Neurospora crassa OR74A: one gene and its partner. The protein of the gene in region 1 interacts with the protein of each later gene in a pairwise test. Links are inferred from orthologs where the notes say so. Each region holds a gene or a part of one and is shown on either strand. Other genes may lie near its edges.

Region 1 (4,044 bases):
ACCGTCATGTTAGTAAGCGTCATAGTATGCCTGATATTGAGGAAACTCACCGCATCAAAGTCCTCGAACTTATCTTGACAGTTTTCGCAGTAACCCGGCTTGGGATCGCGCGGCTTCGGCTTTGTCTGGGGGACGGGTGTGCTCGCGGTCCTGCGCAATTTTCTCTCCTTCTTGGCCTGCTCCTGCTTCCGAGCTTCATCGTCCTCCCAGATACCAGGCATCGGGGGTTTGGCCGGATTACCCAAGCTGGCGGCACGAGTGCACTGGGCGGCATCCACACCAATCTCGGCCAAGCGACGAACACCAGAGTCTTGCGAAAGAGAAGGACCACCAGCTTTCTGAAGAACCTTGCGCTGAAGACCCAAAACTTCCTTGCTGATACCGGCCTTGGCGCCAAGGACACCGGTGGTGGACGACACCATCTGAGAGCGAATGGCGGATGTGAGCTTGTTGGCCTGGATGCCAGAAGCGACGGGCTCTCCGGCTACCAAACGGCCAACTTTGGTGGTATGGCTCATAAAGGCATTCTGCGAACGGAAATCGACCGAAGGGGTGGGCTCCTTGGCTGACTCGACGGTTTCGGGGGCATCATCAACAACTTCGGTTGCACGGTCGTTGGGTGCTTCCATCTCCTTAAGAGTACGCTTTCCCGTAACCGGCTTGGGTGATGGTACCTCGGGGGGCTGGAGGGTCTTGGTAGCCTTCTCGGTAGCGGCGGCGGCATCTGCAGCTTTGACAACTTTCTCCTTGGTCTGAGTCTTTTCCCGCCTCGTCCTTTCAGGGGGATCATAATCCTCAACAAATGGGCAACGGCCCTGGGATGCCACACGGAACTGAGGCCATTCGCCGTCCTTCTTGTCGGCAACTCTGTGGTACTCCCTCACCATGATCGGCCTCGTCTTCTCCTCAATGTCGTACACATAAATGTAGGGGCCCTTGAAGTAGTGGATGTCCTTGGTAACAACGGTGGGATCGCGATCGGAGGGGCCGTGAACACGCTCATTCTGGAGCATTTGGAGTACATTCGCAGTCTGCTGGCGAGCCTTGGCCCTATCCGCGGCTGCTGGTGTGTGGCCTCGGCCCAACAATGCCGCCTTGTACAAGTCCGTTTCAAGGACCATGCCGAGAATCCTCTGGAGTTTGTCAAGCGACCAGATCTTCTTGCCCATGTCCCGCGCACGGTGCAGGATGTCGGTGCTGCGTGCTTTCGGCTTCGGCATCGTCTCTTCCTGGGGCTGCACAGAGGATTTCCGGAGTGAGGGCTTGTCGAAAATGAGTTTGCGTCGGACCGAGTCGCCATTGCGGTTCAGGAGAGAGGGATCGATTGTCTTTGGCTGTTCACTTGTCGATTGCGTGTTGGTAACGGGCTGGTTCTCGTCCTGGACTGGCTTTACAGGGGGGATAGGACGGGTGGTGACGACATGGGTGATTTCGATGGAAAAGAACTTTTCCTCGCGCTGTGACCGAAGTGTAAGTATAAGCCGAGCGGTTGGGCCTGCATTGGGCAAGGGGTCGTTGACTTACAGCGCCCAATTGAGCGACTTGTTTGGCGAGCTTGTGACGTTGCTCGTCGGGAATGCTCTCAAAGTAGAAGACCATCTTGTGAAAGCGAGATCTCATAGAGGTTTGCCATATACTAAGGTCTTCAAGTTCCTTTGCGGTGATGCGGTCGGTCGTCGTGGTGGTGGAGGTGGTGGTGGTGGTGGTGGAGGCGGCATACAACCTCTCGGCACGGGTGGTGGTGCTGGTAGCCACGGTGGTGCCTGATCTAGAAGAAGCCCTTTCAGGCCGTTCCCGATCAATGGGCCGGGATATGGTCGAGGCCTTGCGCGTGATATTGGACACATTGGACCGGGAGCTCGTCGGCGAGGCGGCGGCGCGTTGACCGCCATGTTCAATCATCTGTCTCTTGGCCGGCGGTGGTTGACCGTATGGCTCCTCTCTAAGCTGATCGGCATGGGAGCGGACGGCGGCCTTTTTAGAGCCCTGTAGTGCCAAGGCGGTAGCCGAGGACCCACGCAGCGGCGAGTTGGCGGCATTGGGGTTGTCGGAGAGAGGAGCCCTCTTGGTGCCCGCGGCAGTGGTGGTGGTTGACGACATTGCTGTGGGATGTCGATCTAGCGATACTGTTGTCTTGTAAAATATCCAGTCAACATGCTATGGGTGTGGTGTTGTTTCTGTTTGTTCCGAAACGCCGGCTCGGGGATGGTAAGGGAGGGAGACAGTTTCCGGGCTGTCTGTCTGGTCGCGTGCTGGTACTAGCTTGGAGTTTGGGTAGGGGGACCCCGGATAACTATGGTACACCAAGAATCAAGTCGTGTGCTGAGTGCCGACTCGACAGACAAGACAAAGTGGTTTAGGCTCGGTGATCGATGGTGTCGATGGTCGAACAATGGCCCAATGCGGTCGGACAATTATTCGTCGTCGATCGTTGGTCGTTGGCTGGGAAGGAGCAAGGAAGCACTCGACCCTGGCCTGGGCGCAAAACAACTAAAGTGAGGCGGTTGGTGGTGGAGGTTGGGGCACAGTTGTCTGTTCTTCCAAAAACGCGTCTCTCGATTTTTGTCGCTGGAGGTTTTGGCTCCGTCGTCGCAGTGGCACGCGCTGAGCTCCGGTGACGGGAAGGAAGAAGGGACCGTTGTTGAACAAAACTAAGGAAACGGCTAAGGCCAATTGGATGATCTGCGCAAACCTTCCAATGTCGAATCGCGCCCGAAGTCAGTCGACGCCCGGTGCGAACAGGCCAAGATCCAATGTTCTGGTGTTGGTGGGTGGTCAAAAAACCTTTGTGTAATCAAAGTGTTTGGTTTTGATAATGACAGTCGCGACAGCAGGGTCCAGCAGGCCAAACCTCTAGGCAATGTGGGGGGGGGGGGGGGGGGAGTGCAGGCGCCCGGCCCGGGATGCTTGCACTGGCTGCCCTACACTGAAAAGCGCTGACAATGAAAATGCACCCACGCCTGGCAGCTGTGGTTTGTTGTTGCTGTCAGGTCGTGCTGGGGAATGCCAACAGCGGCTCCACATCCGCGGCTTGCAGCTGGCAGGCAGCATTTGATGCCCGGGCAGCGAGACCTGGACTCTTGGCAGTCCAGTGAAGCGCCTGGCAACTGTCAGCATTCATTTGAGCAAAAGTGAGAATGATAAAGTGACGAGATCCCATGTCTTTACCTTTACGAAACATACCTACCTATGAACCGACCTCTTGTCCGTCGCGAAGCAATTCAACTTCATTTCTCGCCGTACCTTGTTGCTTGGGGAATCTGGAGGTTGGTAAAGGTTGAGATTCCGACAACCCCATGATCAGTTTGTAGCTAGACTTTAGGTGCCGGTAGTCCTAGTAAAATACGTATCATCAACATTGCGAGCCATCCCAAACCAAGTTCACCTACGCCACCAACCCGGCGAGCCGAGGTGAACTCACACCTCGTTCTCACCTAACCACCACATTCCTTCCCCTCATCACCCTTTGACAACCACCCTTTATTTGACATGAAGCTTCCCCAAGCCGTCCTGCGGCAATGTTCTCGACACTTGCGCGCTCAGAATAACTGGCCTCTCCAACCACGTCTCCAATCTGCCAAGTCCATCCTCCCCGCATCTCACCCAAGCTCACCACCATCAACACCATGGCGCCCATCCCGGACATACGCAACGACGACGACGACGACGACAACAGTCTCAGCCGCCGACCTCGAATTCGGCCAGCCCGTCTACGAAACGCACCCCCACATCCTGCAACCGGGTGAACTAACCCCCGGCATCACGGCCCAAGAATATCACGAGCGACGTTCCAAGCTCGCCTTCGCACTTCCCGAAAACGGCATCGCCATTCTCGCCTCCTCGGAACTCAAATACCGCTCCGGCGCCGTCTTCTTCCCCTTCCGACAGGACTCCAACTTTCTGTATCTCACCGGATTCTCCGAGCCCGACTCGCTGGCCATCATCCAAAAGACGGGTCCCAAACCAGGCGACTACGTCTTCCACCTCTTCTGCCGGCCCAAAGACCCGCGCGCCGAGCAATGGTCCGGCCCCTGGTCCGGGCTG
Region 2 (4,128 bases), on another chromosome or scaffold:
AACGTTGCTCGAGAACTCTGATAATCGCGCAGACAGACGGAAAGACAGGCCCGGCAGCTGAGAGGAAAATCTGAAGCACGCCTGTTTCCCTCGCGCCAGAAACCACTATTAAGCGAGACAAGAAACATGTTTCGTAGGCAATGGACACAACGAGCAAGACATCGGGAAAGGGCACAACCACAACGTAGAGGAGAACAACGACGTCGGAACAATTAAAGAGAATGGGGCACAGATGCGAAAGAAAAGAAGAACCCACCTCAGCTACTGGGGATATGCAGAAAACATACATTACTACACGCTGTCTTCTTTCCCTGGAGAAGCACAAAATGCAGTTACTCAAAGGGGCTCACTGGCTCAGGAGCGGTATAACCACGGGATACAAGGAAGGGCGCAACAGTCCTCTCAACTCTCGACCACTATCATATCCCAGTCAGCAAAAGACTTTGGCTTATCACGCAGCTTGGTTGCAGGGTTTCACTTACGATGCTCTTCTGCTGGTGGGGAACAACTCCATCCTTGATCCAAATACCATAGCTGCCCATCATGTTGGCAAGCATCATGTCAGTGGCCAGTCGGTCTCCCACGACGGCGATCTGGTGAGGACTGGTGACACCGGTTTCCGGGTGGGCACGGAAGTAGGACATGATCTCGTCTCCACAGCCTGGCTTTTTCACACCATGGGGGAGAACAGTGATGCCGGTGGCCTTTTCAACTGCGGATGCCATCTGGCCGTCCTTGTCCCAGCTTAGGGCACCAGCAGTGTTGGAAACGATCAGAAGACGGCGTCCTGGGTATGCTGCTCGTAGAGCCTCCATGCGTTCCTTGGCTTAATCAGTCAAAGCGTTCCTGAATGGAATTGGGACGAGAGACAACCCACCTTGTAAGCCTCATACACTTCATTGTGATCAGGATAGGCAAAGCAGTCATCTTTGTCGAGCACGACAGCCTTTATGTCAACCTTCTTCTCGCCATTGCCGGAGAAGGCTTTGTTAAGAGGGATGGGCAGGTCGTTGAACGTTGGAACTGTAGCGTGGGGCAGACATAGTGAAGGCTTGGCGATAAGCTTGAAAATGTTCAATGAGGCAGACAAATTGAGATTGAGCTTTGACATATTGGTCGCGATAGTCCTCTTGGAGTTTGTTTGGTTGAGATGACATGAGGTTGCAAGAAAGCCTATGAACTCTCCCACCTATAACCCTCCCGCGAAGTACCTAGAGGTAGCGTATGTGGTGGTAGACAGGGGCTTGGCTTGCCCCCGTTAGTAGGCAGCGAACCCTGCTACCCGCAGGTACTCTCTAGCAGGTACCTGCTGTCTTCCCATCTAGAGGTAGGTAGCGTCATCCCGGGCGTATGTACAGCTTAACGCGTCTCAATTAAGCGAGCGCGTCTTGACTTTACAAAAGTTTCCCGTAGACTTCGAATTGCAGAGGTAGGGTAAAGGTACAGCGGGACTCCAAGGCATGCCATACAACTTGGACAACATAAACCAAAGCCAATAACACAAACGGTATGCCTCCTCGTCGGAAATCAACAGATCAGCACGATCTAGTCGAACGCCCCTCTCGAAAGCGGCCACTCCCTGCCGACCCCTACGAAGTTCCAGATGAGGATGATGCGGTTCCCTCCGCAAAGCGTCAACGGCGACAACCAGAAGATGGAGGAACACCTTCAAAGCGAAACGCCACCCCGCGGAAACAGGTCGATTTCCTCCAGCGCGACCTAGCCTCTGTGCCAGAAGAACCCGAGTCACCTACCGAGCAGACACCCAGCAAGAAAAGGATAGGGCGACCACCGAAGGCCAAGACGGGAGGAACACCAAGTGGCAAGCCGAGCACACCATCCGCCCTGCGCAAGAAACAAGTCGACGAGACACCGATCAAGCTCAAAGGAATCAGTGGCGTCGACACACCCGGCAGGCGAGGAATTGCCGACCGATCGGCTAGACGGAAGAGTGCCAGGGCTCTCATCGACCGTGTGCTGGAGGGCGCCGTAAGCGATGACGAGGACGAAGAGCAACAAATCGCACGAGAGATCTACGAGTCAAGCGAGGAAGAAGAGGAAGGGGACACCCAACAAGAAAACCTCGCCGACCAAGAGGCCGAGTTAGCAGCAACCACTCCATCCAAGACAGGGAGGGGGAGAGGACGAGGAGGCAGACCCCCCGGTTTAGCACGACGAAAGAAATCGCCCACACCACCCCGAGACCTCCCTCCCCATGAACAATACTTTTACCAGAACAAGCCGGGATCCAACAAAACCTCGAACAACACGCTCTCCTCGCTCGACCTCCTCATCCACGAAGAATACTTCTCGCTTCTCCGCAACCTGGGTCAGGACCCCCACGAAAAACATATCGATGCCCTCCAGTCGCAACACGCCGCCTCCTTCCCCCAATGGGCCTTTGAGCTCTCCCAAGGCTTCAGCGTCTGCCTCTACGGCTACGGCTCCAAGCGTCGACTTTTGCACCAATTCGCCGAGTACCTCTTCTCCTCCTCCGGCGGTAATGACACAAACAACACAACAATCATCATGATCAACGGGCACACCCGCACCCTCACCTTCCGCGAGATCCTCACCACCATCTCGGCCGCCATCGACCCCACCTTCCGCCTACCCTCCGGAAACCCGCTCGCCATGATCCAAAACCTCTTCACCCTCCTCTCCTCTTTTGCTCAAAAGCCAAGAATCACCCTCCTCCTAGCCTCCCTCGACTCCCCCTTCTCCCCCCTCCGCAAACCCCAAACGCAATCCCTCCTCGCCCATCTCTCCTCACACCCAGCCATCTCTCTCGCTTGCACAGTCGACACGCCCGACTTCCCTCTGCTCTGGGACTCTAGCTTACGCTCCTCGTTCAACTTTGCATTTCACGACTGCACCACTTTTGCAGACCACAGCAAAGAGTTGGACGTAGTAGACGAAGTACACGAGTTACTGGGTAGGATGGGCAAGAGAGCGGGTGGCAAGGAAGGAGTGGCGTTTGTGTTGCGGAGTTTACCCGAGAACGCGAGGAAATTGTTTGGGCTGATTGTGGGGGAGGTTTTGGTGGCTTTTGAGGACGGTGGTGGTGGTGGTGGTGGTACATCAGGGGCAGGAGACTTTGCAGCGGGAGGAGAAGGGCCGGGGGTAGAGTATAGGATGCTTTACAACAAGGCTGTGGAGGAGTTTATTTGCAGTTCGGAAATGGCGTTTAGGACGCTGCTAAAGGAGTATGTTCTTCCCTCTGTTGTGACTTGGCTGTGGAGATGATTTTCTTGGTTTTAAAGGGACAACGGCTAACAGAACGGAAACAGATTCCACGATCATCAAATCATTACGAGTCACAAGGACTCGATAGGGACGGAATACTTGAGCTTACCTTTTAGGAAAGAGGAGCTGGAGTCTATCCTGGAGGAGTTGATGTCGTAGTGATGATTGACGACGATGTATCATGACAATGCTAAGTTTTGAATCGAGATGAATGGGACACACACAGATTTGACCTGGAAGTTATCATACACACGGCAACACCCACCACATGTGTTGGAATGGAAGCCTACACATCATATCATAGTCTTAACATATCCAAAATCCTGGAAAGCTCACCGCAGAACATCAATAGCTCAAGTCTTACGATAATTACAAAGTCGAAAATGTATACTTGCCACTTCGATGTTTTGCTTGTCATGCCATGCTCTCATGATAGGTACTCGATTACCGAAAGGACCTAGTCCACTACTTTGTTTGGCCACACACACACACACACACACACACACACATCGAATCACGAGTCATCGAGCACAAAAGACATCAAGAGTATAACGAAGTTGAAATGTTTTTGATTGGATTCCTCAGTTCAGACAATTCCGTCTCGCGCGCCACGGATGCCAAGGAGACAAAAACAAGCAGCCGCCATGTCCGGGGAACTTTTCCCAAATGCCCGAGCTTCGATCTTGGTTCAACCGTATAAACCAAGCCCAAATCCCAAACTATGTCCAGGGAAAAAACAAACATTGTGCAAAAGAACACCTCCCCTTCCCAGGCCTCTGCCCGTTTAACACTCTCCTTTTTGATTAGCCCATTCGCAGATGCCCTTTTAAGCTTTTGCCCCGTGCCCGTTCAAACCCAATTAAGAACCCAAGAAGGACGCAC

Evidence for each region.
Region 2: the proteins of NCU05972 (region 1) and NCU01370 interact in a two-hybrid assay, tested with the Saccharomyces cerevisiae proteins (3 studies listed by BioGRID). The link is inferred for Neurospora crassa OR74A from reciprocal best matches to the Saccharomyces cerevisiae genes DBF4 and ORC2.

The regions. Positions count from the first base shown.
Region 1 is NC_026506.1:3,250,926-3,254,969, forward strand, and holds the start of NCU05972 (sporulation-specific protein 6), read right to left. Parts: upstream 2,801-4,044; 5' UTR 2,101-2,800; coding exon 1,525-2,100; intron 1,458-1,524; coding exon 51-1,457; intron 1-50. Other genes in the region: NCU05971 (xaa-Pro dipeptidase), read left to right, coding at 3,490-4,044. UniProt on the Saccharomyces cerevisiae protein: Regulatory subunit of the CDC7-DBF4 kinase, also called DBF4-dependent kinase (DDK), which is involved in cell cycle regulation of premitotic and premeiotic chromosome replication and in chromosome segregation.
Region 2 is NC_026505.1:3,801,279-3,805,406, reverse strand, and holds NCU01370 (hypothetical protein), read left to right. Parts: upstream 1-1,382; 5' UTR 1,383-1,509; coding exon 1,510-3,206; intron 3,207-3,290; coding exon 3,291-3,405; 3' UTR 3,406-3,628; downstream 3,629-4,128. Other genes in the region: NCU01371 (UPF0660 protein, variant), read right to left, coding at 333-416, 483-821, 878-1,111. UniProt on the Saccharomyces cerevisiae protein: Component of the origin recognition complex (ORC) that binds origins of replication. It has a role in both chromosomal replication and mating type transcriptional silencing. Binds to the ARS consensus sequence (ACS) of origins of replication.